Linked DNA regions of Elephas maximus indicus. The protein of the gene in region 1 purifies or fractionates together with the protein of each later gene. This does not show direct contact. Links are inferred from orthologs where the notes say so. Each region holds a gene or a part of one and is shown in the gene's direction. Other genes may lie near its edges. The genes, in order: AGO2, GEMIN4, DDX20 and TNRC6C.

Region 1 (6,959 bases):
CCCAAAGGTTGGCAGTTTGAACTCACCAGCCGCTCTGCAGGAGAAAGATGTGGCAGCCAACTTCTGTAAAGATTACAGCCTAGGAAACCCCACAGGGAAGTTCTACTCGATGAGTCTGGATCCACACGAGCAGTGGGTTTGGTTTGTTTTGGTGGACACTGACTGTATTAACCCGCTGGCGAGCAAAGGAGAAACAGCAGCTGGAGGAGGGAGAGGGTGAGCTTTGATGTCCTGGGCCTGAAGCGAATTTGGGGGGCGAGGGCTGTGGCAAGGGGCCTGGGATTCCTCAGCACAGGCGCAGCAGGGTGAAGTCAAGCATGGTTTTACCTCGGAAGAGGGCAGGCAAAGGAGGGCCAGGACCACGCGGAGAGAACCCCGTGTCCCCGCGCTTTGGGGCGGGGAGCGCAGGATCCCCTAGGCCCCGAGGGCTCCGGAGGGGGCGGGGACGGGTGCGTGCTGCGGGGACGCGAAAGCGGCACCAGCGCCCCTTGGCCAGCAGGGGGCCAAGGATGAGGGATCTCAGAAAGGAGCGACGCAATGAAGCAGACACCTTCTAGAAAAGAGGTTTGCAACAAAGTTACCCAACGCCGGGCTCCAGGAAAAAGAGGGGAGCAATGGAGTCCAGACGGCAGGGGGGGATCCTAGTTCTGGGCATTCTGGAGCTAGAGGTGACAGCTGCAAACCGCGGGGCAGTCAGGCCCCTGAGTGATCCGGGGATTCCAGGCAGAAACGAGTTTTGTGGGTGTCTGAGAGGGACCATGGAGAGAGGCCTGTGGGGTTGAGGAGAATTATAAGGGGGTGTGGTTTATAAAAGGAGCCCTGATGGCACAGTGGTTAAGTGCTCAGCTGTTCACTAAAAGGTTGGCAGTTCAAACCCATCCGCAGCTCCCCTGGAGGACGACGTGGCGATCTGATTCCTTAAAGGTTACAGCCTTGGAAACCCTAGGGGGCAGCTGTACCCCGTCCTATAGGATCCCTAGGGGCCAGCTGTACCCCGTCCTGTAGGATCCCTAGGGGCCAGCTGTACCCCGTCCTGTAGGATCCCTAGGGGGCAGCTGTACCCCGTCCTGTAGGATCCCTAGGGGGCAGCTGTACCCCGTCCTTGGAAACCCTAGGGGGCAGCTGTACCCCGTCCTGTAGGATCCCTAGGGGGCAGCTGTACCCCGTCCTATAGGATCCCTAGGGGGCAGCTGTACCCCGTCCTATAGGATCCCTAGGGGGCAGCTGTACCCCGTCCTATAGGATCCCTAGAGGGCAGCTGTACCCCGTCCTATAGGATCCCTAGGAGTCGGAATTGATTCCACCGCAGTGGGTTTTCTGTGTGTGTGTGTGTGTTTTGTGGTTCATAAATAGGAGTGATAACATTCACGTTTATTTCAAGACTTCTTTGTTATGAAGTATAACAGAGGTACAGGGAAGTTTTTAAAACATAAAGCTTAAGGGATTGTTGCAAGGCAAACGCCAGTATCCACCCATCCACGGCCAGAAGGAACACGCCTTGGACCCCAAAAGTCCCCATGGGCCTCTCTGTGGTCACACCCCCCCAGCAGTAAACCCCATTCTGACTCTTATGATAATCACCTTCTTGTTTTTCTCTGTATTTCTATTATTAGCTTTGCATCCCTAAACAATGTGTGGGGCCAGTGGTGGTTCAGAGGCAGGATCCTCACCTTCTATGCAGGAGACCTGGGTTCGATTCCCGGCCAGTGTACCTCATGTGTCGCCACCACCCGTCTGTCAGTAGAGGCTTGTGTGTTGCTGTGAAGCTGAACAGGCTTCAGCGAAGCTTCCAGACTACTTGGACTAGGAAGAAATGCCTGGTGATTTACTTCTGAAAATCAGCCATCGATAATATGATCTCGACCATGGGAGCCACAACCCATCATGCGGATGGGCAGGACAGGGCAGTGTTTTGCTGAGGTGTGCATGTCGCCACCAATGGGGGGGGGGTGTCTGACCCCACGGCAGCTCACAACACCAACAACATATACGCGGGAGCCGAGATGTGGGTTTGTGTTTAGCTTTTACCGGATACTGCCACACATTTTCTCCAAATTCACGTTCTCACGATAACAGTCTTGAGAAAGCAAAGACGTGGATCTGAACAGCCCTGGAGTCTGATGTGAGAAGACTCTGGCAAACAGGTGGGGCTCTACTGTAGACCAGAGTAAGGATGTTGGGCCCTGTGTGGATGGAGACAGGAACCCAGGGAAGGGCTGTACGCAAAGTAGACCAAGATCAGCTTTGTGTTCGCACAACATGCCTCCAGCTGCGGCTCAGAGCGGAAGGAGAGGGAAGGGTCATTTCAGTGGTTGGTCAGGTGGCTCAGCCTTCTCAGGTGGAGGTGGTGGGCAGAGTTGGAGACGGGTGGCTGGGCATATGGGAGACCGCAGCGACAGGACTCAGAGACTGAGGAGGAGCCCCACTCCATCGGGAACTTGGTGAAGACAGATGTCTTCCTTATAAGTTTCTCTCTGTAGGAAATTACAGTTTTCCTTCACTTATTTAGGGATGACATTAGGGAGCCCTGGTGTCATAGTGATTAAGTGCTATGGCTGCTAACAAAAAGGTCTGCAGTTTGAATCCACCAGGCACTCACTGGAAACTCTATGGGGCAGTTCTTCTCTGTCCTATAGGGCCCCTATGAGTCAGGATCGACTCAACGGCAATGGCTTCTGAGACAGCAGAGATCTCATCATAAACCTGCCAAGGGCCCTGCACCTCCCCCAACACACTGGGCCTTGCACACGACAACATGACAATAATACGTATTCATAGGATGCCTGGAGAAAGGAGCAGGTGAAAGTGTTAGAAAATGAGTAACTCAGGTTGTGTGTCACCTTCTGACTTTAATAGCCCGCCTACTGGGGCAGGAAGGAGGTAACCTCTACCTAGCACCCCTAGGAAAGGCTCCAAGGGAGAGGTGGGGCCCAGAGGGACTTGGCGGTGAGGAGGATTTGGATGGGGGAACATCCCAGGCAGAGGCAGGAAAGCACAGAAAGGCACATTAAAGAGTGACATGGTGGGGGCTGGTAAGGGCACCGCTTGAAAGACGGGCCCAACAGAGCCCAAGGGGGCTGGGGGCAGTGGGCCCCAGCCCCGGAGCAGAGCCGGCTGGGCTGCGTCTAAGTCGCGCCGGGAGGTGGCGGTGTGGTTGTGCGCGAATGGGCAGGGAGCGCGTTCAAGTTCAAGCGCCGACATTCATGTTTCGTTATTAATTTAAAAAAGCCAGGCTGCGATGCGGCAGGCGCGGCCAGGAGGCGGACTCCCGCACCCCCGCCACATCGTGCCCAAGTGCACCGGGCCCCAGAGGAGCCGCGAAGCCGCCCGAGGGTGGGGGCGGGAGACTCAGGGGCGCCTCCGGGCCGGGGGACGGCGTCGCTCCTCCCGGGCGCTGCACCGGACCGTCGCCCCCCGCCGCCGGTCCCCGCCCAAGTCGCCCCCGGAACCCTCCAACCCCCGCGTCCCCGCCCACTCGGCTCCAATCCCCGCCCAGGTCCCCTCCCAGCCCCGGGTCCCCGCCTAGGTCCCCCCGGAACCCCAGCCCCGAGTCTCCGCCCAGTCCCCCCCGGACTCCCCTCAAGCCCCGAGTCTCCGCCCAGTCCCCCCCGACTCCCCTCCAGCCCCGAGTCTCCGCCCAGTCCCCCCCGGACTCCCCTCCAGCCCCGAGTCTCCGCCCAGTCCCCCCCGACTCCCCTCCAGCCCCGAGTCTCCGCCCAGTCCCCTCCGACTCCCCTCCAGCCCCGAGTCTCCGTCCACGTCCCTCCCGGGCGCCCCAGCCCCTGGTCCCCACTCGCCGCCCCTCGCCCGCCCCCGGGCTCCCCGCCCCGCAGCCCCCGGCGCGGACCCGGTGGCGCGCAGGGCCGGCCTCCCCCGCGGGCGCGCGCGCCTCCCCCGCCGGCCGGCGCCCCTCCCCGCGCCCTCCCCGCCCCGCCCGCCGCGGCGGGTAAACCTGTTCGGCGAGGCGGCCGCGCCGGGGCAGATCGAGCGGCCGGCAGCTCCTCGAGCTCTCGGCGTCGGGTGGTGCGCGCGGCCGCCCCTCGCGCAGAGCCTTCAGCGGCGCCACCATGTACTCGGCAGCCGGCCCCGGTGAGTGCGGCGGTTGGCGGCGCGAGGCGGGAGGCCACCCGCTCCCCGCGCCCCGGGTCCGGCCGGGCGCCGCGTGGAGGCCCGAGCCCAGCGGCCTGGGCGTACGGCAGGGGCCGGGGACCGGGGACCGGGGACCGGGGCCGGGGACCGGGGTCGGGGACCGGGGCCGGGGACCGGGGTCGGGGACCGGGGCCGGGGGCCGGGGCGGGGCCGGGGGCGGCGGGCCGGGGTCCTCGCCCGCGCGGTGGCGCCGGCCCGGGGCTCCGTGCGGGTGGGAGCGGCCCGGAGCCGCGCGGCGCCTCCCGTGGCGCGGGGCGCCCTCCCCGGTTCCTGGAACGAGGTGGGAGACGAGCTGATGTCGTCGGCTTCCCTGCCTCCGAGACAGCCTCGCCTGCGTCGGAAAAGTTCTAAAAACTTGAAGCAGGCGCACATTTTCCTTCTTTAATGCCGAGAGGGAGGGCGGCTAACTTGCTGGCGGAGAAAATGGTCCAGCGTTGAAACGCTGTCGCCGTCTCCCGCCGGGCACGTGGCCGCCCCGCTTCCCCGCGGCCCTGCCACTTGGCCCGGGCATTGCTGCGCCTTTGTCCGCCGAGCTCCGGCCTGGCCACCGCGCCCGGGGCTCCGTGCGTTCTCCTTCCCGGCCCTCCGCGCCTCCCTGCCCGCCCGCCTCAGGCCCCCGAGCCACTGGGGCCGGCTCTGATCGCTCCCCGCAGTGAGCTCGGTGCCTGGCGGATTCCGGGTGTCTTATTTCTGATGTCACAGTTGGTTAGAAAGCTTTCCCAAGGCTGAGCCGACCCAACTTTCCAACTCTTTAGGGCTCCCAGCAATTTGATTGCAAAATGGTTTGAACCCGGCACCTGGGAGGTGCCCCAGCCCTGCGGGCAGAGCCTGAGCTCCGTTGCCACAAGCCCTGGGGTCAGATCCTGGCTTCTTGGGGCCCTGAGTGGACAGACCCCGACCCGTGAAATGGGCCGGATGGTCCTCTCCGCCTTGAGTCAGGCTCTGAGAGCTGATCCGTCTAAAGGGACCCAGTAAGTGTTAGCGACCTACTTGGTATGTTTTTTCAGACTTTGAGTTTACAAGTTGGAGGCCGGCAAAAAGTGAAGAACCTTGAAGGAAGGTCAGGCTTTTCTGTAGAGTGTGTTCCTTAATCCACTGGACAGCTTGCTGAAGTTGGTGGTGGTTCTTCATTTTAAAGGTGGACAACAGAGGCTCAGAGAGGTTAAGAACTCCCCCAAGGTCAGACAGCCAGTGAGCATTAGACCAATCTGTCAGACACACAAGCCGATTCTCTTGACACCCTCCTCAGAGAAGTGGCTTTCAATCCTTTCTGACCTTGACCCCTGGGTGAGAAATACCTGTTAAATCTAGACCCGTTAAATTATATGCGTGTATAATTCAAACAAGAGCCTCAGGAAGCAACACCCCTCCCCTCACTGCGTGCACTGGCCTGGCCTGGGGTAATTCCCCGTGCACATCGATTTCTTAAAACGCTTCAGCCCTGTGGGTCTCCAGGCTCCTTCCTGGCCTCTGCCGGCTTTCTGGAGAGTCCTGCTCCGGTGGAGGCCTTGGTGGTGATGGGGAGAGGGACACACAGCTCACAGATAAGACCTGCTCAGGATAAATGGGTCTGTAGGATAATTCTTAGCTAAGGGCAGGATGGGAAGTGTGCCCAAATTTTAGGTTGTTTTGTAATGATACGGCTGTGATGCAGTTCCATTTTATTCTGTATGCGAGGGCTGTTAATTTCGTATAAAAGGAATTTTTGGAGCTGAGTCTCGTCAGTGAGACTCTTCAGTGTTGTATTTCTTAATTTAGAGTAATGAAAGGACATTCAGCCTGAATTGTAAAATAATTACAGATAGTTTTGCTACGTAAATTAATTTCAGATATAGAGTGTGCAACAGGCCTCTATTGTGCCTGTTACAAATAAAAAACTGTTACGTATGTGAATCAGTATCTGGGCTCTTAAAGTTAGGCGTGTTACCATTTTTTAGTTTTTTGAACTCTTTCAAAGAGTTAAGGCTTAGGGTAGGTCCTTCAGTGACTTTCTGAACCTTCATAGATGAACAAATTAGTTTGATTCTTTTTTTTTAGCCACTTAAAGCTCTTTCACTGTGTCTGAGCAGCAGCGTACTGTAAACCTATTGTTTCTAATGGTGTTACTGTGCTCAGATACCCCTGGGAGTTACACTCACCAGTTTACTACAAAGTAACTCTCAAATGTTGTCACTGGTAGTTGCTATCTCGTGGATTTCCACTGTTGGCGACCCCTTGTGTGCAGAGTAGAACTGCTCCACAGGATTTTTCAAGGCTGTGACTCTTTCAGAAGCAGATCGCCCGACCTTTCTTTGGGGGGGCCTTTGGGTGGAACCACCAACCTTCAGCTAGTAGTCGAGTACGTAATGAGAGTTGTCTGAATAAGATTATGCCTTTGAGAATAGCTGATTTACACTGTGGTTTCTAGTGTAATTTAACTTGCCATGCACCCCACTTCTTTTCCTTTTCCATTGTTGAGGTCTCCCAGTAATGTTGCATGGTTGTCGCAGAAGCAAATTTCCTTCTTTCTGCCCACAGAGAAGCAGCAAGCTGGGAGGTACGGGAGTACAGGGGTACTTGGCTGTGCGAGGGCTTCCTTAGTTCTATTTATAAACTTGGAGGAAGAATTTAAATAAGTGTGTAAAAAAAAAAAAGATTATGGAAGCTTTGACTCCTAAAACTTACACGGTTTTAAGTAGTACTGGCTTTTCTTTTTCTTTTTTTTAATTTCTGTCTTGTTAACTTCGAGTTTCAGCGGCGGAAGTTTTAATTAACGTGCTTCTGGAGCTCACGGTTTATATTGTCAATGACGCAGCCCGCTACCGTGCTCA
Region 2 (7,447 bases), on another chromosome or scaffold:
AATGCCACTGTCCACCTGGCACATTTTGGTCTTTTGATATCAGCCTCCTTTTATTTAGCTCGTTGCCCACCTTTTCTTCCCTTGTTGCAATCTTTAGTATTTTATTCTTCCTAAAACCATTTAGTGTACAGCTTGGGACTTTTACCAAAGAATCCAGAAGTTTGACTTCTGCACAGTTCGTCTGCTATTAAAGCAAAAGTTACAATTACTTTCCCACTTCTGGGGATGGTGTAATCAATTAGAAAAGGTTATAAGAAGATGGTTTTGCCCAGGCTACTGTTCTAAGCCGATGAAGTTGGAAAGCTCTTTTGTTTCTCTAGAGTTACATTTTCAGAGTAGTAATTTTGTTACTTTAATTGAGAGGTTTTGAAGTCCTAGTATATTAAGTGTAAGTTCAAGCGTGCCTTGAGTTGAAATCCAGAGATGTAGAACGGCAGTGGTGCAGGGGTTCTAGGGTGGCCTGAGAGAGTTAGCTGTCTGAAGGCCACGTCTGCCCGACAGCTTGGTAGAAGTGGCAAAGCCCATGGACATTCAGTGCGCCTTTCTGTGACACTTTTACCCATCTCTCCTGCCACACGTGCCATTGCGGTTTAACAGCCAGTTTTCAGGAGAGCTCCAGCCTGTCCACTGAAAGTGATGAGAGTTAATGGGAAGTTTCCCCATTTTGGTCTAAGATTTCTTACCGTTACCCTGTGAGAAATCAACAGGACATTTACTCTGACTTTAATGATCAGTTAAGGAAGTGACCTGACCTCAGATCTCTTTATTAGGTAATAGAGGCACGTGGTTCAAAAATCAAAACAATGTAAGAAGGTATACATTGAAAAGTCTTGCTCCTACCCATCCCCATTGACCCCATTTCCCCTGCCCCCATACCAAAAAACCAAACCGTTGCCATCGAGTCAGTTCCAACTCGTAATGACCCCCCGTAGGTAATCAAAATATATTCTAATTTCTCCACACAGAGAAGATTTAACATACTATGTATACTATACCTTGCCTTTTTTTTTTTTTTTTTTAAGTAATATATCCTAGAGATCTTGCCTCTCAGTATATAGAAAATTTCTTCTATGGAAATTGATGTCATATTTTACAAATGCAAGCTTCAGATGTTTCCAGTCTTGTTATTCAAACAAAGCTACAATGCTACAGTGAATAATTGTACACCTCTTTTCCTTACTGCTAATTGTGCTTTTCATATTAAAATTGTGTATTTTTCAAAATTGCTTTCTCACACACCCAATCTTAGAGGCCACTGCTTTTCCTTCTAGATTCAGATGGTCAACTCATTCATTTCTTCCATTCATCATCTGTGGAACTGAGACATCCTGGAATTATTTTCAATGCCTTCCACTTTGTGATAACTATCTAATTATCCCGAGATAGTAGTTAATCTGGTGGATATTGATAAACAAGATTTTGTTTTTAAAAGTGAAGAGGAGGGTACGTGAAGGACAGTTGCCTGAGGAGGATGGGTTAGGTTTTTGTTTTTAGGCATTCATTTTTATATAGTCATGGGATAAACCACAAGTGTTCTCTGCCCTCCTAATTATGGCAATTTTTTACTTTATCAGGTTTCATAATGATTTCCAGAATGGTACAGCTACAACAAGAGCTTCTAAATTGACACCATATTTTGTATTAAGAAGCTTATTATTATTTGATGTGACGCCTGTCCCTAACAGCATCAAATTGTATTCATAATTCCCCCAGAGAACAGCACTGCTGTTCTGCAGTGTGGCTCTTGCCCATTTACAGGCCATAAGAAGTAATTTTTTGGCCACTGTGGACTTCTGGGTGTACTTCATTCTTAGTTTACTTGTCTGTAGCAGCTTCCTGCAAATATATGGACAGAGATCTTGAAGATACCTGGTGACACTTGGTTTTCTTTGTTGCCTGAAGTCTTTATGGTGGTTGTTTCTATTGTGTAATGGTTCTCGTGAACTGGGGCTCACCTAATGTCATGATGTATAAAAACAGTTTTTGAGGGAAATCCCATGCCACAGCAGACCTGTTTATCCGAAATGTCTTTAATAATACCATTTAGTGCTCCATATGCCAGTCACTAGATACAGTGCTTTGTGCACTGATACCTCCATGATAATCACCAACAAGAGTAGGAAGTGAGGTCAAGCACTTTGGCCCTTGCACAGCAGTATGAGGGGTGTCTTGTGTCCTAAAACAAAGTCTACTTATACATGTTTTGTGTGCCGGTGAGTCGATTCCGACTCATAGCAGCCCTATAGGACAGAGTATAACTGCCCCATAGGGTTTCCAAGGCTGTAATAGTTATGGAAACAGACTGCCTCATCTTTATCCCAGGGAGAAACTGCCGATCGTTCCATTAGCAGCAGAGCAATTAACCACTGCACCACTAGGGTTCCTACTCATGCGTGCATAGCTGTCTTGTCCCACAAACATCCCCAAGCAGAAACCAGGGTTAGGGAGTAGTCCAAAGAAAGTTTAGGTTACTGGGTTTTAGATGAGGCTTCCAGAGGCTGGTGTTTTGAAACCATCTTCTCTAGTATTTCTCAACTGCTGTGTTGTGATGCATCAGTTACTTCACCACATTGTCACAAGGAGTTTGACTTCCCTCCAAACATTAACTTGATGGGATCTGTTCCAGTGGGGGCTTTGGGTAATGGGGACTTGACTCTAGGTTTTTGGAAGACAGCCCCATTCCCTTCCGTACTGTTGAGTTAGTAGTGGATCAACAACCCCTGGGAGAGAAGGAACCATCGAATTCCTGGAGAATGGCTTTACTGACCTCAAATTTTGTGCATTTTCGTTGTACTGCTCTTCCTCCCACCCCTCTATTCCTGCCAAATATCTGCATATGCTCTGGCAATAGTACGCAATTTTACCTAGAGAGATGTTTCTTATAAATTTTGGACACTTTCCCAGTCACTTGGAGTTTATCTCTTTCCCAACTGCAGACAATCGCTCTCATGCAGCTTAAGTCATTTATTGATGTCTCAGCTAAAATTGGTACCGCTTCAGGACATTTCAGCCATCGAGGTCTTTCCAGGTCTTAAGGAGTCCTTTCTCTACCAGAGGAACTGTGCTACTTTCTTCTGTCCGCCAATCTGACCTACCTAACCACCCTCCTTTTTCTTTAGCTCTTCCACTTTGGAAATATAGATCCTCATGGCATCCAACTTGGTCATCCCTTTGTTCTCGTTCCATGCCTCCCATTTGGCCTTGGCTTTCACATCTGTGGAGGGTGGGGCAGGGATGTTGCAGTCGCCCTGGGTGGCCTGTTTGTAGAAGCTGTATACCAAGAGTTTCTCTTGATCACTCACAGGACCCTTCAGCTCCTTGACAGCAGCACAAGCTAGCTCAAACTCCACTTGGCCCATTGGTGTAAGTAAGGCCGGGCCCCTCTGTCCTTTCTAGGTGGTATCTGGCGCTAGGAAATTCAGAGGGTAGAGAGAAACAACTTGAGGCTGATGATTAGCTCAAAGAAGAAGAGAGGGGAAAAGGGAGCCGGGGCGTGTGTGGGGAGAACACAGGATATTTCCATGTGTTTTCTCAGTGAAAAATCAAATGTGTGCCTTTATGAAGTACAGATTGCAAACTGGTGGCATGTTGGGTTGGATCCGCCCCACGTTTGTTTTTTTGTTTTGTTTTGGCTTGCACAGTCATTTTGCGGGGAGGACTACGCTTCCAATTTAGGCATCCGGACCTAAAATTGGAAACCCTGGTGGTGCAGTGGTTAAGAGCGAGGCTGCTGACCAAAAGGTCAGCAGTTCAAATCCACCAGGCCCTGCTTGGAAATCGTTATGGCGCAGTTCTCCTCTGCCCTATAGGGTCGCTATGAGTCGGAATCGACTCGACGGCAACGGGTTTGGTTTTGACGGGAGGCGGTGTGGGATGAGAAGCGCTGGGGGCCTATGTGTGTTTCTGAGACAGACGGGGAGACCTGCTCTGGGGCAGGAAGCCCCTCAGTGTGTTGTGTCTGTTTATGCGGGTTAGTGGGCAGCCTGCGGAGGGGCATTCCGTTTGGGTGAACTGTGTGTGGGGGTGAGTGTGGGGCCAGGGACGGGGCTAATGGGTAGGCCGACTGGTATTCAGGAAGCTGATCTGGGAATGGTACTGGGCGGATGGGTGGCTGAGTAGAGCCTTGAAAGGGAGCGCGGCCGGGGTTGGAGCCAAGGCCGGGGCGGGGACTAGAGAGCGGGAGGGCCGGGGCGGGGCACGCAGCCGCGGGAGGGAGGTGCAGGTACCTGCTGGTTGGCTGGCGGGAGGGCTCTGGCCGATAGGGGGCGCTGCGGGCTCGGCGCCGCGGGCTAGTTGGTAGGAGCTGCGCGTGCGCGCTGAGCGGCGGAGCGGGGCCGCGGTCCCGGAGGGAGCGAGTGTTGAGGCTGTGGGCGGGGACTGAGGCGCGGCCCATTGTACCTCCCCCTGCCCCGCCCATTGTGGCGTGGCGCCTGCGCCGCACTCGCCGCCTCTGAGGGGGAGGGGCGGCCCCACGCCGCCGGCAGCGCCGCCGCCATGGACCTAGGTGGGTGTCGCGGTCCCCGAGTCCCGGGCCAGCCCGGACCACGTCCCGCAACGGGGAACTAGAGCGGTTCTGCCCGGCCCTCCCACTCCCGCTGCGCACGCTCGGGAGGGCCCCGGCCAAAAAGCACCTCCCGGTCGGGCAGAGGTTTTGGCGGGCGGGGATGTCCTTGGAAACCCAGGATCCAGAGGCCGGGCTCTAGCCCCTGGCTGGCTGTTACTTGACCGCCTCTTGCCCTCTCCCGGCCCCTTTCCGGGTGAAAAGCCAGGCGGATGTGGAGTTAGGTTTTCTGAAAGTGGGAAGGGTTAGTGCACGTGGTTTGGAAAAGGCTGGCTCGGAGGCCCCGGGGAACTCAGGGGTGCCTTGAACTGGCACATTTATTGAACTAAGTTCTTGGGCAAGTTTCTTACCCTCATCAGGTTTCCTCATCGATGAAAATGGGGGCGATGATAATGTATCTACTTCATAGAGCTTTTGAGAGTTTTGAGTTCACGTGTATACAGACAGGGTCGGGTACAGCGCCTACCGCACAGCAAGCCCGTCGAATTTGTGGCGGTTGTTGGAGTGGTTGGAAACCCTGGTGGCTTAGTGGTTACGTTCTACGGCTGCCAACCAAAAGGTTGGTAGTTCAGATCCACCAGGTTCTTCTTGGAAACTCTATAGGGCAGTTCTACTCTCCTATAGCGTCGCTAGGAGTCAGAATCGACTCGATGGTAATAGGTTTGGTTTTGGGGTTTGGTGGGAATGATTGCAGCTGAGATGGTGCCTTTGAACCTGCGGGCATCTTGATTCAGAGTCCTCTTAGGCATGGTTGGAAAAACGGAGGGAGAAGTGTATATAAATTGCTCCCCCGTTCTGAAGCCTCCCACCTCGCTGGCTATGCTGTTAAGGGGGTGATACCCTAGTCAGCTATAGAGAAATGTCCTGGGCCCTGTCCCCTCAGCCCTCCAGTGGTAGAATGGCAGCGCTTGAAGGGTTTGGAGCCCTGCAGCTGTGGTGGTTTCTGTCCGAGTCCCACCACTTTGTAGTTGTGACACTCTGAGCATATTAAGTGTTCCTGGGCCTCAGTGTTCCCGTGTCTAAAACAGGAATCATGGTCCCCAGAAAGTTGTTTTGAAGATTAAAAGATCTATAGGGGCACTATGAGTCGGAATTGACTCGATGTCAGTGGTTGTTTTTTTTTTTTTTTTGGTATGTGTGCTTGGCACAGTGCCTGACATAGAGTAAGCAGTTAATAAACGGTGCGTACCCCCAAGTACCAGCTAGTCATAAAGCACTTGGAAGTTACCCAGCTATTAACTGCTTGGGGGCTTATTACTTCAAGTAGCACATGTACATACTGTTGTCTCTGGAAGGCAGGAGTGTTGGGAGCCAGACATCAGCTCTAAGTAAATTCAAAGAGCAATGAAATTAAATTTACAGAATCTTTGGGACCCTGGCGGAACATCCTGAGCCTTGGTTTCAGGGCTCCCCCCTGGTCAGACAGCTACCAAAGTCACATTTCAGTGCTGACTTTCTTCTTGAGCCTTAGACCTGCGTTTCCTGTTGCTGGAGGACACCTCTATCTTAACGTTTTACCTCAGACTTCAAATAACCAAAACCAAACTTGTCTTCTCCTCTGTTACCTGTTTCTAATGGTGCTCCTTGGCCTCCCAGTTCCCAGGCTAGAGAACCTGTGAGTCATTTTTTATTCCTCAGCTAAGTCTCACTCCAGCTCTGCAGTGGCTTTTGTAACTATCCCTCCTCTCCCCTTCTCACTGATCTCATCTAAAACCTTGTCCTCTCTAACCCTGATAGTGACAGCCAGCCTAAGTGCTGTCTCTCCCTCTAACTTCTGCTTACTTATTTAAAAATTTTCACCACTTTCTTTGGCTTCTTTCCACGCAGGCCCCTTGAACATCTGTGAAGAAATGACTATTCTGCATGGGGGCTTCTTGCTGGCCGAGCAGCTTTTCCGCCCCAAAGCACTGGCAGAATTGACCAAGTCTGACTGGGAACATGTTGGGCAGCCCATTGTGGAGGCCCTGAAAGAGATCTCGGCCACAGCGTGCTCCCAGCCCTTTGCCTGGAAGAAGAAAGCTCTGATCATTATCTGGGCCAAGGTTCTTCAGCCCTACCCTGCCACCCCTTCTGACACTGAAACCCGGTGGCAGGAGGATGTGTTTTTCTCAGTAGGCAACATGCTCCCCACTATCAATCACACAATCCTTTTTGAGCTGCTCAAGTCCCTGGAAGCTTCTGGACTCTTTATCCAGCTCCTGATGGCCCTGCCCACCACCATCTGCCGCGTAGAGCTAGAGCGCTTTTTGGAACACATGACTGTTAACACTTCTTCAAAGGATGTGGCCTTCTTCCTAGACATCTGGTGGGAAATGATGAAGCACAAGGGCAATCAGCAGGACCCTCTGCTCTCGCAGTTTAGGACAATGGCCCATAAGTATTTGTCTTCTTCAGATGACTTCTGCCATCCTCCAAAGAGGTTCAAGTCAGACCCAGATGTGTGTCCCACCATGCCCCTGTTGGCCATGCTGCTCAACGGGCTGAAGCAAATCCAGAATAAAATCCTGTGTCCTGGAATGAAGTGCTGCGCATTGGCCAACTTGGCCGACATGCTGACGGTGTTTGCCCTTGTGGAGGAGGACCCCCAGGAAGTGTCTGCCACCGTGTATCTGGACAAACTGGCAACCGTCATTTCCGTGTGGAATTCAGACACCCAGAAGCCATACCACCAACAGGCGCTGACAGAGAAGGTAAAGGAGGCAGAGCGGGATGTCAGCCTGAACTCGCTGGCCAGGCTCCCAACTGAGACGCTGTTTGTTGGGTTTGAGTACATGCTCAGCCTGCTGCGGGAGTGGGGAGAAGAGCTGCAGGCCATGCTCAACAGCAGCCAGGGGACAAGCTACGATAGCTACCGGCTGTGTGACAGTCTGACTTCCTTCAGCCAGA
Region 3 (7,431 bases), on another chromosome or scaffold:
CTCAAGTCTCACTCTTACTTCTTCAGTTCACAGGGATCTCTCCTTCCACTGGCCTCCGCTGACTTGAAGGGGAGTAGGAGCTCCTGGATATATAAAGTGGGCGAGGCTTTCCAGGTAGACGGAGCAGCACCAAGGTTCTGAGCTGTGACAAGCCATGAGCATTAAGGAATTGATGTAGTTTGGTCTGTTTGGAGGAGGTAGGTGGGCTTCCTGGCCCGAAAAGAGGCTGAGGTCTGATTGGACTTTATCTTGTGGGTGCTGAGATGCAGACATAGTCCACACTAGTGTTCAGTTTCCATGTGTTTTTCTCTTACACCTTTCCTAGTTATTAAGTGATCTCTCTTTGTTTTATCTTTACAGCCCTGAAATTGTGGTCAACAATATTGTTATTCTTTTTAACCATTGAGGGAAAAATTTTATTGATTTGTGTTTTTAGCCATAGCAATAAAATGTACTCCCAATAACATTACTGCAATATTCGTGTCAGTAAAACACCATAAATAACAAATGCAATAAGAGAATGCCTATAAAACTATGAATGCCCTTTTCTGGAAAAGTAGTATTTTTGTTTCTCTCGGGATGAGAGCCAGGTTCTTTGACAGTGATTGGTCCAAGTTCTGTAGAACTGCTGCTGTGCACATGGGGACCCGGTAGAGACTTTTTGAGCAAGAAAGTGTCAGCCATGCAATATTTATTAGGTTTACCAGGTGCCTCATACTGGGCTGGAGAGAGCCTAGGGTGACAACATTCCTGTCATTGAGAAGATCATAGTTTAGTAGGAGGGACAGGCATGTAAACAAGTAAATACAATATGGTAAGAGCTGGACAAGAATTATTTACAGTGTGAGGTGGGAGCCTGGGGTGGGGAATAAATAAGGGTGTCAAAAGAAGCAAGGCCTGAAGCTGGTTTAAAGCAACCAAGGATAATCTATTTAAGAAAGCTCATTCCAGCAGATGCGGGTGGATGGCCAAGATAGAGAAGAAATTCTGGCAGGAGACCATTCAGGAGGTTATTGCAATAGTTCAGGATGGTGAAGGGGCCTAAAACACGGCAGATGCTACGGGGACTGGAGAAGAGGAATGGAAGAAATATTTGGAGCCATAATTACCTCCAGTCAGTGAATTGTTACAAAGAGGGGAGGGATAGTAGAAGGTGTGACTTGGAGGATTAGGTGGCTGAAAAAGGTGGGGGTCCTAATAGGATGCCTGGGGGTTTAATGCACCCCTCATCATCAGTTCTCCTTCTTTCCTATGGACAGTTGACATTTTCTCAAGGTTTTGTAAATTTCTAAGCAGGACTCCTTTCCAGTGGGATTACCATGCCGAAGAGGCACATTGTTTGGAATCTGGAACCACTGTGTATGTGTGTGTGTGTGTGTGTGTGTTTGTCTGTGTGTGTAAGTGGGAGATAATGACCAGGATTATGATCTAAGGACAAAGGAAAAGTTTGGTGTTGGACGCAGAATAGCTTTAAGTTCGAAATTGTAAGATAGGTTTTCAGAAAATAAGTTTGGAATTGTGACTAAGTCTTTGTTATAGGCACTCATTCTCTCAATAAATATTTATTGAGTACTTACTATGTGTCGGATTCTCTTTTTCCCACTAGGGATAGACCAGAGAACCAGACAAAAAAGCTTCCTGTCCTCATGAAGTAGGGGAGACAGAAAATACATAAATATATAAATACATTGAAAAGACAGGAAAGAAAGAAGAGACTGAGATGGATGTCAAAGGAGACTCTGAAACTTGTTCTTGAGTGTCAAGCAGCTAAAGCAAAAGGAAGAATGGATGAAGTGAAAGAACTGAAGATTTCAAAGGGCATCTTGAGAAGACAAAATAAAGTATTATAATGACGTGTGCAAAGAGCTGGAGATGGAAAACCAAAAGGTAAGAACACGCTTGGTGTTTCTCAAGCTGAAAGAACTGAAGAAAAAATTCAAGCCTCAAGTTGCAATAGTGAAGGATTCCATGGGGAAAATATTAAATGATGCAGGAAGCATCAAAAGAAGATGGAAGGAATACCGAGTCATTATACCAAAAAGAATTAGTCGATGTTCAACCATTTCAAGAGGTGGCATATGATCAGGAACCGATGGTACTGAAGGAAGAAGTCCAAGCTGCTCTGAAGGCATTGGCGAAAAACAAGGCTCCAGGAATTGATGGAATATCAGTTGAGATGTTTCAACAAATGGATGCAGTGCTGAAGGTGCTCAGTCGTCTATGCCAAGAAATATGGAAGACAGCTTCCTGGCCAACTGACTGGAAGAGATCCATATTCATGCCTATTCCCGAGAAAGGTGATCCAACTGAATGTGGAAATTATAGAACAACATCATTAATATCACATGCAAGTAAAATTTTGCTGAAGGTCATTCAAAAACGTCTGCGGCAGTATATCGACGGGGAACTGCCAGAAGTTTAGGCCGGTTTCGGAAGAGGATGTGGAACCAGGGATATCATTGCTGATGTCAGATGGATCCTGGCTGAAAGCAGAGAATACCAGAAGGATGTTTACCTGTGTTTTATTGACTATGTAAAGGCATTGACTGTGTGGGTCATAACAAACTGTGGACAACATTGGGAAGAATGGGAATTCCAGAACGCTTAATTGTGCTCGTGAGGAACCTTTACATAGATCAAGAGGCAGTTGTTTAGACAGAACAAGGGGATACGGATTGGTTTAAAGTCAGGCAAGGTGTGCGTCAGGGTTATATTCTTCCACCATACCTATTTAATCTGTATGCTGAGCAAATAATACCAGAAGTTGGAGTATATGAAGAAGAACAGGGCATCGGGATTGGAGGAAGACTCATTAACAACCTGCCTTATGCAGATGACACAACCTTGCTTGCTCAAAGTGAAGAGGACTTGAAGCACTTACTAATGAAGATCAAGGACCACAGCCTTCAGTATGGATTGCACCTCAACATAAAGAAAACAAAAATCCTCACAACTGGACCAATGAGCAACATCATGATAGACAGAGAAAAGATTGAACTTGTCAAGGATTTCATTTTACTTGGATCCACAATCAACAGCCATGGAAGCAGCAGTCAAGAATCAAAAGACGCATTGCATTGGGTAAATCTGGTGCAAAGGACCTCTTTAAAGTGTTGAAGAGCAAAGATGTCACCCTGAAAACAAAGGTGTGCCTGACCCAAGCCATGGTATTTTCAATCACATTATATGCATGTGAAAGCTGGACAATGAGTAAGGAAGACCGAAGAAGAATTGATGCCTTTGAATTGTGGTGTTGGCGAAGAACATTGAATATACCATGGACTGCCAAAAGAATGAATAAATCTGTCTCAAAAGAAGTACAGCCAGAATGCTCCTTAGAAGCAAGGATGGCGAGACTGTGTCTTACACACTTCGGACATGTTGTCAGGAGGGATCAGTCCCTGGAGAAGGACATCATGCTTGGCAGAGTACAGGATCAGCAGAAGAGAGGAAGACCCTCAAAGAGGTGGATTGACACAGTGGGTTCAACAATGAACTCAAGCATAAGAACGACTGTAAGGATGGCTCAGGACAGGGCAGTGTTTCATTTTGTTGTGCATAGGGTCACTATGAGTCAGAACCAACTTGACGCCACCTAACAACAACAATAATACAATTATATATAATACGTCCTATAAAAAATTAGAGCAGAACAAGGGAATATAGTGACGGAAAAGGCAGGGGTGGGGGACTTCTTTGAAAAGGTGGTATTTGAGCAGAGACCTAAATTAAAGAAAGCCATAAAGACCGCTAGTTGCCCACTCATGACGGAGGAGCAAGACATACAAAGAAAACATGTTAAATTTGAGATGCCTAGAATTGACTCCACGGCAACCAGGTACTAGACATCTAAAGTAGAAATGTTGATGAGGCAGATGGATGAAAATATAAGACGAGTTTAGAGAGAGGTTTGAGGTTTGGCAATTGTCAGGGTCATCAATTCAATATTCAATTCCAGCTCCTGGTTCCAATTCAATTTCCTTTATTAGAGTTCACCACGTGCCAGGTACCGTGTCAGGAGCTGGGGACCCAAGGATGAACAAAGCCATTCTGCAGGCAGACATACACCATAAAAAAAAAAAAAATCCCGAAGTCTTGTTAAACCTCGAGCGCTCTCTGCGAACACAGAGAAAACAGCGAGTTGGGAGGGCTCGGGAAAAGATGACGGCGGAGCGGGATTCAGGCTGACCGAACAGCCAGCGGAGGCTCAGAGGCGGCGAGGTGTGACGCACCGGACGCATCACAAAGACAGGGCTGTGCGGGTGGCTGCACTCGGTCGGGACTGGGCGGACCCACCCAGAAGAAGCCGGGAGGAGGGACGGCGCCCCCACCGTGAGCACGTGGCGCCCTCTGCAGGCCGAAGGCAGCGACACACCGGTAGCCTCATCTTCTCTCTCCTCTCACTTCCCGCCTTCCTCAGGCCACATTTTTCTGTTGTCGTTCCTGAGTCTTTCCCAGCCTCCGGCTTCCATCCCTCCTCTTCTGTCCAAGGCCGGGCGTGTTACTGTCGTCACTGGAAGACTGCCAATAACGTTTTCTCTTTCCTCGCTCTCATGCTCCCCGCCTCTTCTCAAGTACCGCGAGATTTGGTGGCGCGTGTACCATGGCGGCGGCGCTTGAGGCCCCTGCGGCCTCGGCTCCCGTGGAGACGGCTTTACCGGAGGAGCGTGTGACCGCGCCTGTCCCGGCTCCGGAGCCCGCCCCCGGGCCGGCGCGCAGCCTGCGGACGGCTCACGACATCGGCGGCCCGCGGACCCGCACAGGGGACGTGCTGCTGGCTGAGCCGGCGGATTTCGAGTCGTTGCTGCTGTCGCGGCCGGTGCTGGAGGGCCTGCGGGCGGCCGGCTTCGAGCGGCCCTCCCCGGTGCAGCTCAAGGCCATCCCGCTGGGGCGCTGCGGTCTCGGTGAGGGCGGGGGCCCAGGGGAGGCCGGACGGGGCCGAGGAGGGGGGCCCGAGGGGCGGCAGCAGCTGGGCCCGCGGCGAGGACCGGGAAGGAGCACCAGGTCGGCCGCCTGGGCAGGGCTCGGCCTTGGGCTAGGTGCCGCACGCCTTCGAGCCTCAGTTTCCCCTTTTGTAAAACAAAAGGGGAGATTTTGCATTTGAAGATAGCTAGAGCCCTTTCCAGCGCTGGCTCGTGATTCTGAGCTTGAGAGGCTAAACAGTGGTAGAGGTTCAGACACACCTGGGATGGCTCTGAATATGGCCTCGTGCATTTTTGATGGTAAACTGAAAATGGCAGGTCCCAGCTAGGTTATCTGTGGAGACCCTTTCCAGTTCTCCCATTTCATGTTGGTATCTAAGCTCCTTCAGTTAGTACTTGCTGGTGACAATTTGTTGATTTTTCCTTCTCAGATTTAATTGTTCAAGCTAAGTCAGGCACTGGGAAAACCTGTGTATTCTCCACCATTGCTTTGGACTCTCTTGTTCTTGAAAACTTAAGTACCCAGGTGAGTTTAGCTCCGAGGACTCAGATGAATGATTGAGTTAAACCGTATGTAAATTATGAAAGTAAAGGAGACGTTAAGGCTGCTGAGTGGTGCTGGTGTGGATGGTTACCAAGGATACCTTATTGGTCTTTGAAGTTTGGAATATTATTACCACATCATAAACAGAGTAAGCCAACCATGAGTGTCGGTTTTGACGTGACATAAGACTACAGACAAGGATTCATTGTTCTTTTACTTGCTGACTAGATTGCAGCAAGGCGAGACTTAGCGTTTGATTTGATTCATGGTGATGTGATGCTCTGGCTATAATTGGTGGTAACGCCAGGTGGTTCTTAAAGATCTGTGAATCTATCATCTTGATCTCCCATCTTCTGGATTTTCTTAGAATAGTTCTAAGACCGCTTTACTCAAATTAACAGACAATTCAGGCTTGGCATGGAGGTGCGGTCATTTCTTCAACAAAGATTTGTTGAGCCCATAGTATGTATAAACAGTATGTCAGGCACTGGGGATACAAAGGTGCAGCAGATGGCATCCTTAGTTTGTGGCATAGCAGTTATGACAGACTTTATTTCATATTTTCAGTTATGTATATCTGAGGATGATGATCCTTTAATACGGTTGTTTTTAACCAGGGATACTCATATATACATTATCCGGGAAGCTTTTTGAGTCTTACCTTTTACCTACTGAATCCTGGTTGATGCTACTCATAGGAAATCCTTCTACTACCCAATGACCTGGGCTTTTCTACTTGTGGACTAAGGTGTATTTGCCATTTTGGCTGCTGAAAGTGAGCACTCTGGCAGCAGGTTAAGTGTCAAAACTGTGCATAATTTCCATAAATAAGATTCTTTTTTAAAATTTAAGGTCTTTGTATTATCAAAATTATATAACATAATTTTTTGCATCAAAGCTATACATGGGCATTTATGGAAAGTTGGGAAAATTTAGCAGAAATACCAGGAAACAAAATGTATAATCTCACCTACCCAGAGAGAAACTGCTGTTAACAGTTTTGGCATATTTTCTTCTAGTCCTTTTTATTTGTAAGCATTTTTTTCCTTCTCATAATTGAGAACATGTAATTTAACCTTCTCCTTTTTCAGTAGTTATATGGCAGAGTTTTCACCGTGGCTCACAAAACCTTTCATGATCTAGCCCCCTGGAGCTAGATCTCTGTCGTCCGCTCCATTTCCCCCAATTCTGTCCAGCCACATGGCCTCCTTGCCATTTTACAAACACACCAAGAACACTCTCATCTTTAGGCCTTTGCATTTGCTGCCCTGTTCCTGAAAACTCTTGCTCAGGTGTCACACAGCCAGCTCTACTCTGCTGTATATTCACATCTCTGCTCAAATGTCAGCTTCAGAGAGGGGGCTTCCTTGACTACTCCATGAAAATGACTCCATCCCTTTTGCTGTTGGATTTTTCTTCGTAGCACTTTTTATTACCTGCCATTATTTATATATGTTTATTATATACCATCTTATCATACTAGAATGAAAGTATCATGAGGTCAAGGGCTTTATACTGTTAACTGTGATCTCCTAGCAATTAGTATGTTGGATGGTACAAACAGTTTTTGCCTGGCTGCTAATCTAAAGGTTGATGGTTCAAACCCACCTAGTGGTGCCGCAGACCAGAGGCCTGGTGATCTGCTTCCATAACGATTACAGCCAAGAAAACCTTATGAAGCACTTCTACTCTAGAACACGTACGTGAGGTTACCATAAGTAGGAATTGACTTGACGGCAACGGGTTTGGCTTTTTTGCATCAGTATGTCATCTAGCACTTAGTGGGTTCTCATTTAATATTTGCTGAATGAATATGTAAATGGATGAATGGAATGTTTTCCTTTGCCAGTAAAAACTCAATCATCATTTTAAATGGTTATGTAGTAGTTTGTCATATAATTAATGTGCCAGTCATATGTATTTATTCCCTGACTTGTTAAAGGTATATTTTATGTTTTTTTTTAG
Region 4 (7,713 bases), on another chromosome or scaffold:
GTCTAGTTTGGTATTTCAGGTCTGTGAGTTGTTAATTAAATTTAACTTGCCATTTATTTTGATGTAATTTATTCATCGTTTGGGCAAATCTGTGAATTTTATTTATTTATTTATTGGTATACCCAGCTCCAGTATTTAAAAGTCTCTGGCTGATTGGCAGGGTGAAAAGGCTCTAATTTGAGGTTTCCTGTCAGTGCAGGTTCAGTCAGGAGGACACCATGCAGTAATGTGAACAGGGAACATTTACAGACTCAGAGCAACGAGGGATTGGCTGGCAAGAAGTAAAGAGAACCCTAAAGGATAGAGGAATAGCAGCTATAAGGAGTAGCCACTGCCTCCAGGGCTGAGTTGGAGCCCTCAAGGCCGAGCTCCAGACCTCACTGGAGAGGTCACGCTATGCTCACTGGACGCAGAGAACTCATCAATGCCGTGCTGGCAGAACTTGCCAGAAATCCACCTTCTCAGGTGAAAGCCGCTCACAGGAAAGGGTCTTGTTGGAGGCACTCTGCTACAATCCCCTCAGCAGAGGTTGACAGGGGAGGCTGCTGGCCACAGGTGCTGGAGAAGTCGCCACTGTTGCAGGAGCTGGGCACTGGGGAAGTCAAACCCGCGGCGGGAGCCTGGCAAGCACGCGCACTGGAACCTGGATGCAAAACTTTTTTTTCCAACTGTGTCTCTCTAGCACCCTCTACTGAAAATGCTTAACATCATGCCGATTGGCAGAGGAAGAAAACGTAAAGGTCCCAGATGCATTTTCACAGAGCAAACAAAAAGAGGAGGTTGGAGCTCGAGAGGCAATAAATAATAACCAGCACAGCTCCCCAACTCCAAACTCCTTTGTAGTTGGAGGTAGGCACTTTTGGGAAAGGCATTACGCTGATCATTGGCTACACACTACAAGCTTTTAAATTTCTAGCAAACAATGATATTTTTTAAAACGCGCATACATCCTGGTCATTCTTATTAACTGCTCCATAGCACACCAAGACCTGACAGCAAAGATTACTGTCTTTCAGACTAGTTAGGGATTTTCTTCTATTATGTTAAATATATTTAAAGTACGTTCAAGTGTCCTTAAGTAAGTTGACTAAGAAAATGGAGCTCCAATAAAAGGTAATAGCATTACTTTGTGACTTAATTCAAGGCTAATCTAAACTCAAATGAAATATAGAAAAGGTTTTTCACAAAACGGCACTTAAAACTCTTATACTTGTAATTTACATGTTAATGTAGTAAGTAATACTACAGTTTCTATAGTGGTGAAAATGTTTACTGAACCTAATTAGTTTTGAGACAAATTGTAATTAAATAATGCTGAATTCAGTCAGGTTTTCAAACTACTAAGTTAAGTTTAGGTTTCAATTTGCTAAGAGTGGGAATTTCAGATCACTTCCTTGTGCGCATGCGGAACCTGTCCATGGAGAGGGAGGAAGTTGTTCGGACAGAAAGGGGATACTGAATCATTCAGAATTGGAAAAGGTATACAACGGGTTGTATCCTTTCACCTTACTCAAGCTGCATGTTGACAAAATAATCCAAGAAACTGGGCTATACGAAGAACAAAGCATCAGGTTTGGAATAAGACTCATTACCAGCCTGCGATATGCAGATGACACAAACTTGCTTGCTGAAAATGAAGATGACGTTAAGTACTTAACTGATAAAGGTCAAAGATTACAGCCTTCAGTATGGATTACACCTGTACATGAAAAAAACAAAAATCCTCAAATTGGACTGATATACAACATCATAATAAACGGAGAAGAAATTGAAGTTGTCAGTGGTTTCATTCTACTTGGATCAGCAATCAATATCCATGGACGCATCAGTCCAGAAACCAAATGGACATACTGCATTGGGCAAATCTGCTGCAAAAGTTTTAAAAAGCAAAAATGTCACTTTGATGACTAAGATGCGTCTGACCCAAGCCATGGTCTTTTCAGTCACCTCATTTACGTGCAAAAGTTGCATAACGAAAACAAGAATTGATGCCTTTGAACTGCGCTGTTGGCAAAGAATGTTGAATATACTGTAAACTACCAGAAGAACAAACAAATCTTAGAAGAAATACAACCAGAATGCTCCTTAGAAGCAAGGGTGACGAGATTTCAACTTGACTACTTTGGACACGTCATCAGGAAAGACCAGTTGCTGAAAAAGGACGTCATGTTTGTGGTAAAGTAGAGGGCTAACAAAAATGAGGGAAACCCTCAATGAGATGGATTGACACAATAGCTGTAAAAATGGACTAAAATATACCAACGATCATGAAGGTGATGCAAGACCAGGCAACATTTAGTTCCGTTATTCATAAGGTTGACATAAGTAAGAGCTGATTGGACAGCAACTAACAACAATAGGTTTAAATAAATAAATTTGTTAGAAACCATTTGTGTGTCAGGATTCTTTGGTTATAAGCAGCAGAAAGAACTGCCATGTAACTTTTAGGAAGATGTGAGGTAACTGACAGAACTGAAGGAAAAACAGAAGGGCCGAGCTAAGAAAGGGCAGGGGCCCACTGTGGCCTGGAGAATCTAGGTAACTGGCCCCAGTGGACAGGTTCTTAAGGGTATGGTCAGTGAGATGAATCTGATCTAGCTGTTGGCCACTCCATTCAGTTTGCAAATCCCAAGGAGTGTCTTGATTGGCCTGGCGTGACTCTCCTGCTGTCAGCATTACTGGGGAGCAACCTAAAGGTATGAGGCTGCAGACCTGGAGGACCTCTGTCGCCAAGACTTCGTGTTTTTTTCCGTTTCTCAGCTTCACTTCCTTGGTGTTGGCCTCATTTCCAGGGCCTGTGGGTTTGAGAGATGCTGCAGCACCTTTCAGCCCTGAGGTTCTGTTAAGTCCAGACCCAGCAAAAGTGTCATCCCTGAGCCACTGCCCCTGAACGTCCACAGATTGAGAGTGAGTGTGGGAGTGGGACTCCAGGTGAAATGAGGGAACAGTTACCAACAGGAGGACTAAAGGAAGCTGGGGGTAAATCTGCTTCAGAAGACCTCTTTAAAGTCAAGCAAGATGTCACTTTGAGGACTAAGGTGCACCTGACCCAAGCCATGATAGTTTCGGTCATCATATATGCATGCGAAAGCTGAACAATGAATAAGGAAGACCGAAGAAGAATTGATGCCTTTGAATTATGTGTTGCTGAAGAATATTGAACATACCACGGACTGCCAAAAGAACAAACAAGTCTCTTGGAAGAAATACATACAGCCAGAGTGCTCCTTGGAAATGAGGATGGCGAGACTTCGTCTCACATACATTGGACATGTTATCAGGAGGGACCAGTCCCTGGGGAAGGATAACATGCTTGATAAATAGAGAGGGTCAGCAAAAAAGAGGAAGATCTTTACAAGATAAATTGACATGGTGGCTACAACAATAGGTTCAAGCATAGCAAGGATTGCGGGGATGGTTCAGGATCGGGCAGTGTTTTGTTCTTCTGTACATAGGGTCAGTATGAATTAGAACTGACTCAACAGCACCTAACAACAACATCAACACTTAAGCCTGAACAGAGACAACCAATGATTAGCAAACAGTTGCGGAAAACTTCCCACATCAAAGAGAGTCTAAGAGAAGAAGAGTCCACGGAAGAAACAGGTAACGTAGGAAACAAAAAAGCTTCAGAAAAACCCTAATATCCTCAGATAGAACAGAGATGATTTCGCATCCATAATACGAAAACAAAATGTGGAGAAGGAGCAATTAGAAAGCAAGAACGTCATTAAGAAGCACAGTGCAAAGATTAGAAGACCAAGTAGAGCCAAGCACACAGAAAATAGAATAACAGAAAGGCATGGAGTAGAAAATAGAAAAGTTATAGAGAATCAAACCAGGAGGCTCAGTATGTTGTTATTTAGAAAACAGAAAACATTTTCAAGAAAATAGCTGAAATTATATTTTTATGTTGAAAGAGTCAACCAAATGCAAAGCACAAATAATGAGGGGTGGGGGGGGAGACACCAAGGTACATCATCATGAAATTTCAGAACCCAGGGGATAAAGAGATGCTATAAGCTTCCATAGAAAAAATATATCACCTAAAACGGATTGAGAATCAAAAAAATCAGACATGCTAGAACAGTGGAATTCTCTGCTTAGCCAAGCCACCATTCAAACAAAAAGGCAGCCTAAAACTGTTTTCAAACATATATGGTCTCCAAAAATCAACCTCTCACACGTTCTTTCTTGAGAAGATACTTGACGATGTTTTCCAGCACATCGAGGGAGTAATTTAGGAAGGTGTAAGACAAGGGAAGTCACAGGATGGCTGAATTAATAAAGTCAAATCAGTGTTAATAGATGATGATGTTTTGCTGAGGCATTTGTACGTTTTGTTCCTTCTGCTTAGTCTGTTAATTCCTCCTTTCTGCTCTATCAGTCTGGGTCCAGTCAGAAAACAGAAATCACACAGTGGTACAGACAGAAGTTTATATTAAAGAATCATTAAGCTATGATACAAGAAAACTGGCAGAGCACTCCCAGCCCAGACAGAGCAGGACTGAAGGCCCTGGAAGGTAGATTTGGGGGGGGGGGGGGATTCATGTTTTAAATTTTGGAGGGAAGCATACAAAAACAGGATTTTTGTAAGGAAAATACTGTAAGAGGAAAAGAAACACAATTGGGAACTCAAAAAAAAAAAAAAAGAAAAGAAAAAAACAGCTGCACAAAAGGTAAAGTGTAATCCCAGTATATATTCTAACTCTGCAGCAAATATTTAGATATTCTTTGTAAGTAAATGCTGTTTATTGATTTAACTAAAAGTAGTAATGGATGGTAAAATGGGGGTGCTCTAAGAGCCATATCCACATCCGTCATTACACTAATTGTTAATGTCTCAAATTGGTGAGCCGAGAGCCTAGCCATCCACATACGTTATTTAGAGCTGGGAAGGAACATAGCTTCCCTGTATACGTGGGGTATATAATTAAGTGAAAAAAGAGTAACACAGAAGAGTGAATAGTCTGTTTGCATTTGTTATTTAAAAAAAAAAAGGATGAGTACATGTATAGTCGTATGTAGAGATACCCTAAAGATATCCAAGAAACTGCTAACATTTTGTTAACCTCTAAGCAGAGGGCCGTGGGGGTGTTGGAACAGCAGTCTTACGTTTCATTATGTATCTTTTTGTACTGTTTATGGCTTTCCCCCCCCATGAGCACTTATTACTTTATAAAATAAAAATGCGATTAAATGTTGATTTAAAAAAATTATTAATGATATAACAGAAATTGCACACTGGGGGTTAGAGGTAGAAGAGATTACTGCTAGCTAGGGGGAGATTAGATAAAGCTTTATTAAGAGCACATATCTGAACTACTCTTTCTCACGTAGACATGGGCGTGGGCGGGAAAGCGTAAGCAATTTCGTGGGCTTTAAATTTACCATATTGTGTACTTAAAGCAGTTTTAGGTTTACAGAAAAATTGTGGAGAAAGTACACAGTTCCATGTATGACCTTCCCACTGCACACACTCTCCTGTTACTAACGTCTTTCATCCATGTGCTATGTTTGTTGCAGTTGGTGAACCATATTGATATGTTACTATTAACTAAAGTCCTTGGTTTACATCATGCTTCACTCTGTGTGTTATATAGCCCTGTGTGTTTTAACAAATGCATGATGTTGTGTGTCCACCATTACAGTATCATGCAGAGTAGCCTCACTGCCCTAAAGATGCCCTGCGCTCCACCCCTCCCTCCGCTGGGACTCTACATTTTAAACAGGTACCCAGATGATTCTGATGATTGTGGTCCCTGAGACAACACTTTGAAAAATAATATTCTGGGGCTGAACTGTGGGAACTGCATCTTACTCCATTCTATTCTGTACCTTCCTCTCCGAACACAATGCCTGATAGTAGGTTGGTGCTCAACAAATATGGGCTGAATGAATGAGCCACTGAAGAAGTCAGGGCAACTTGCTGTTATTCTCAAAGGGTGCCTGTGATGGGGGTGAATGTCTGTGTCTTAACACCTGTCCTTCAAGGGTCCTTCCTTACACCATATGCGACTCAGCTGCCTTAAAACTTCCTGCTGCTAATGCTTCTCTCAATTTTCGATTTAAAATGGACATCGTACTAATACCACTTTTCTTTATATTCGACAGGGAGAAAGAACAAAAAACACAAGAAGAGGAACGTTTGATGGAAGAAAAGAAAAAGAAAAAGCAGGAAGAAAAGAAAAAGAAGGAAGGTGCTCAGAAAAAGGTTTGGCTAGAGTTACTCCTGATCTTCCTTGTTTTGAGAATCATTGTGTCTCATCTCTATGATCATAGCCATTGCATTACTAAGTTTCATTCTGCTTTTTAAATCAAGATACTAAATCTGTAATTAGTGGAGAATAGCTAATGTGCTAGTGAGATAAACGTAGGACGACCGCCACAAATTGCCTTCCTTCAGGGCCGAGAGGTACCGGAGCTGCTGCGTGTAAAGGTTGATGGAAGTGGCGAATGTCCACACTGTCCCGCTTGAAGCGAGCTGCCCGGGGTTGGGGGGGAAAGGGCTGTCTGGCTGATGTTGTCAGAAAAGCTCAGAATAACTGCTGCAACTTCAGCAAGCGTTCTTCTACAAAATTCTATTAGTAGATCCTAAAAATTAAAAGTCCCACTGTAAACCTTTGTAGACATGCTTGGATTTCATGGTATTTAAAATACAAAGTAAGGCCATTTGTTTTTGCTCTTGCCTAGTTTCATACGTTTTATAGTTGAAGCTGCATACCTCCCAGGCCGTATCACAATAGAGCTCAAAGGAGCTTTCCAGGGTGGGTTTTTTTTTGCCTTTAGATTGTTGTTGGCATGTAATCAATAGCATGTAGGCAATTGTATGTTTTTCCCCAATAATAAATGATAAAATTAACTGGACAAAATCGTGATTTTAAAATTCTAGTATTAGAAGTCCACTTACATACTTTCATAGATGGGTCCATCCTACAGGTTATTATTCCTAAAGAGTTTCTGATTTTTTTTTTTTTCCCCCCAGGCTGCTGATCAAAAAACCAAAGGTAAGTTTATTTATATTTGTGGGGGGCTACATTTTAGGACAGATCAAACTGTTTATGATGAAGATGACTAAGTTTTTAATTGATGGTTAAAAAACAGAATCTAACTTAGATTTTGTGCTGACTTTTTATTATTCGTTGTGAAATTCTTCATTTATCACTGGTTTTACATCTGCATTTCATTGGCATTTGCCTACTCTAAAAAACTGCCTAAAGGATGTTAATGTAAGTTTTATTAGCAATGCGTTACAGTTTTCCTTCGGTTTGATTTCTGCTAAACAAGGATTACGCTGATACAGGCGATCCGACCAAAGGGCACTGGATGTCTTTAAAGTCTCCGGTTCCTCATTGCCAGCTTTTCCTTATGGTAAAAAGGGACATGTTCTTTCTCTGTTCCTCCTTTGTCTATTGATATGTAAAACTTTCTCTTTTCTTAAATTCTCCAAGTCCAGAGTTTGCTGCTGTCTTATGGGTATTGGCGGAAGCACACAGTTCTTACTGTGATTTCCTGGCGATTCAGAATGAGCACAGTGGGAGCGACACTGGGAGCATCTTCATTGCAGACTTGACATGTTTAGGTGCTTTCTAGTGGTGAGGAGCACACACTCCGGAGTCATAAACCAGCTCTGGTTAACTTTGCGCAAACCACTTCCCGTCTTTAAGCCTCAGGCATCTCATACTTAAACTGAGACACCCTGCCTCCGAAAGC

Evidence for each region.
Region 2: the proteins of AGO2 (region 1) and GEMIN4 purify together in Homo sapiens (affinity purification with western blotting; 4 studies listed by BioGRID and IntAct, with this or other methods). This does not show direct contact. The link is inferred for Elephas maximus indicus from reciprocal best matches to the Homo sapiens genes AGO2 and GEMIN4.
Region 3: the proteins of AGO2 (region 1) and DDX20 purify together in Homo sapiens (affinity purification with western blotting; 3 studies listed by BioGRID). This does not show direct contact. The link is inferred for Elephas maximus indicus from reciprocal best matches to the Homo sapiens genes AGO2 and DDX20.
Region 4: the proteins of AGO2 (region 1) and TNRC6C purify together in Homo sapiens (co-immunoprecipitation; 6 studies listed by BioGRID and IntAct, with this or other methods). This does not show direct contact. The link is inferred for Elephas maximus indicus from reciprocal best matches to the Homo sapiens genes AGO2 and TNRC6C.

What each region holds. Positions count from the first base shown.
Region 1 is NC_064833.1:4,034,736-4,041,694, forward strand, and holds the start of AGO2 (protein argonaute-2), read left to right. Parts: upstream 1-3,943; 5' UTR 3,944-4,067; coding exon 4,068-4,089; intron 4,090-6,959.
Region 2 is NC_064837.1:20,925,940-20,933,386, reverse strand, and holds the start of GEMIN4 (gem-associated protein 4), read left to right. Parts: upstream 1-4,441; 5' UTR 4,442-4,494; coding exon 4,495-4,504; intron 4,505-6,388; coding exon 6,389-7,447. Other genes in the region: diazepam-binding inhibitor-like 5, read right to left, coding at 3,096-3,359. UniProt on the Homo sapiens protein: The SMN complex catalyzes the assembly of small nuclear ribonucleoproteins (snRNPs), the building blocks of the spliceosome, and thereby plays an important role in the splicing of cellular pre-mRNAs.
Region 3 is NC_064821.1:169,130,657-169,138,087, reverse strand, and holds the start of DDX20 (probable ATP-dependent RNA helicase DDX20), read left to right. Parts: upstream 1-4,424; 5' UTR 4,425-4,603; coding exon 4,604-4,904; intron 4,905-5,353; coding exon 5,354-5,448; intron 5,449-7,431.
Region 4 is NC_064837.1:67,973,363-67,981,075, forward strand, and holds the start of TNRC6C (trinucleotide repeat-containing gene 6C protein), read left to right. Parts: upstream 1-4,693; 5' UTR 4,694-6,073; coding exon 6,074-6,214; intron 6,215-6,985; coding exon 6,986-7,007; intron 7,008-7,713. UniProt on the Homo sapiens protein: Plays a role in RNA-mediated gene silencing by micro-RNAs (miRNAs). Required for miRNA-dependent translational repression of complementary mRNAs by argonaute family proteins.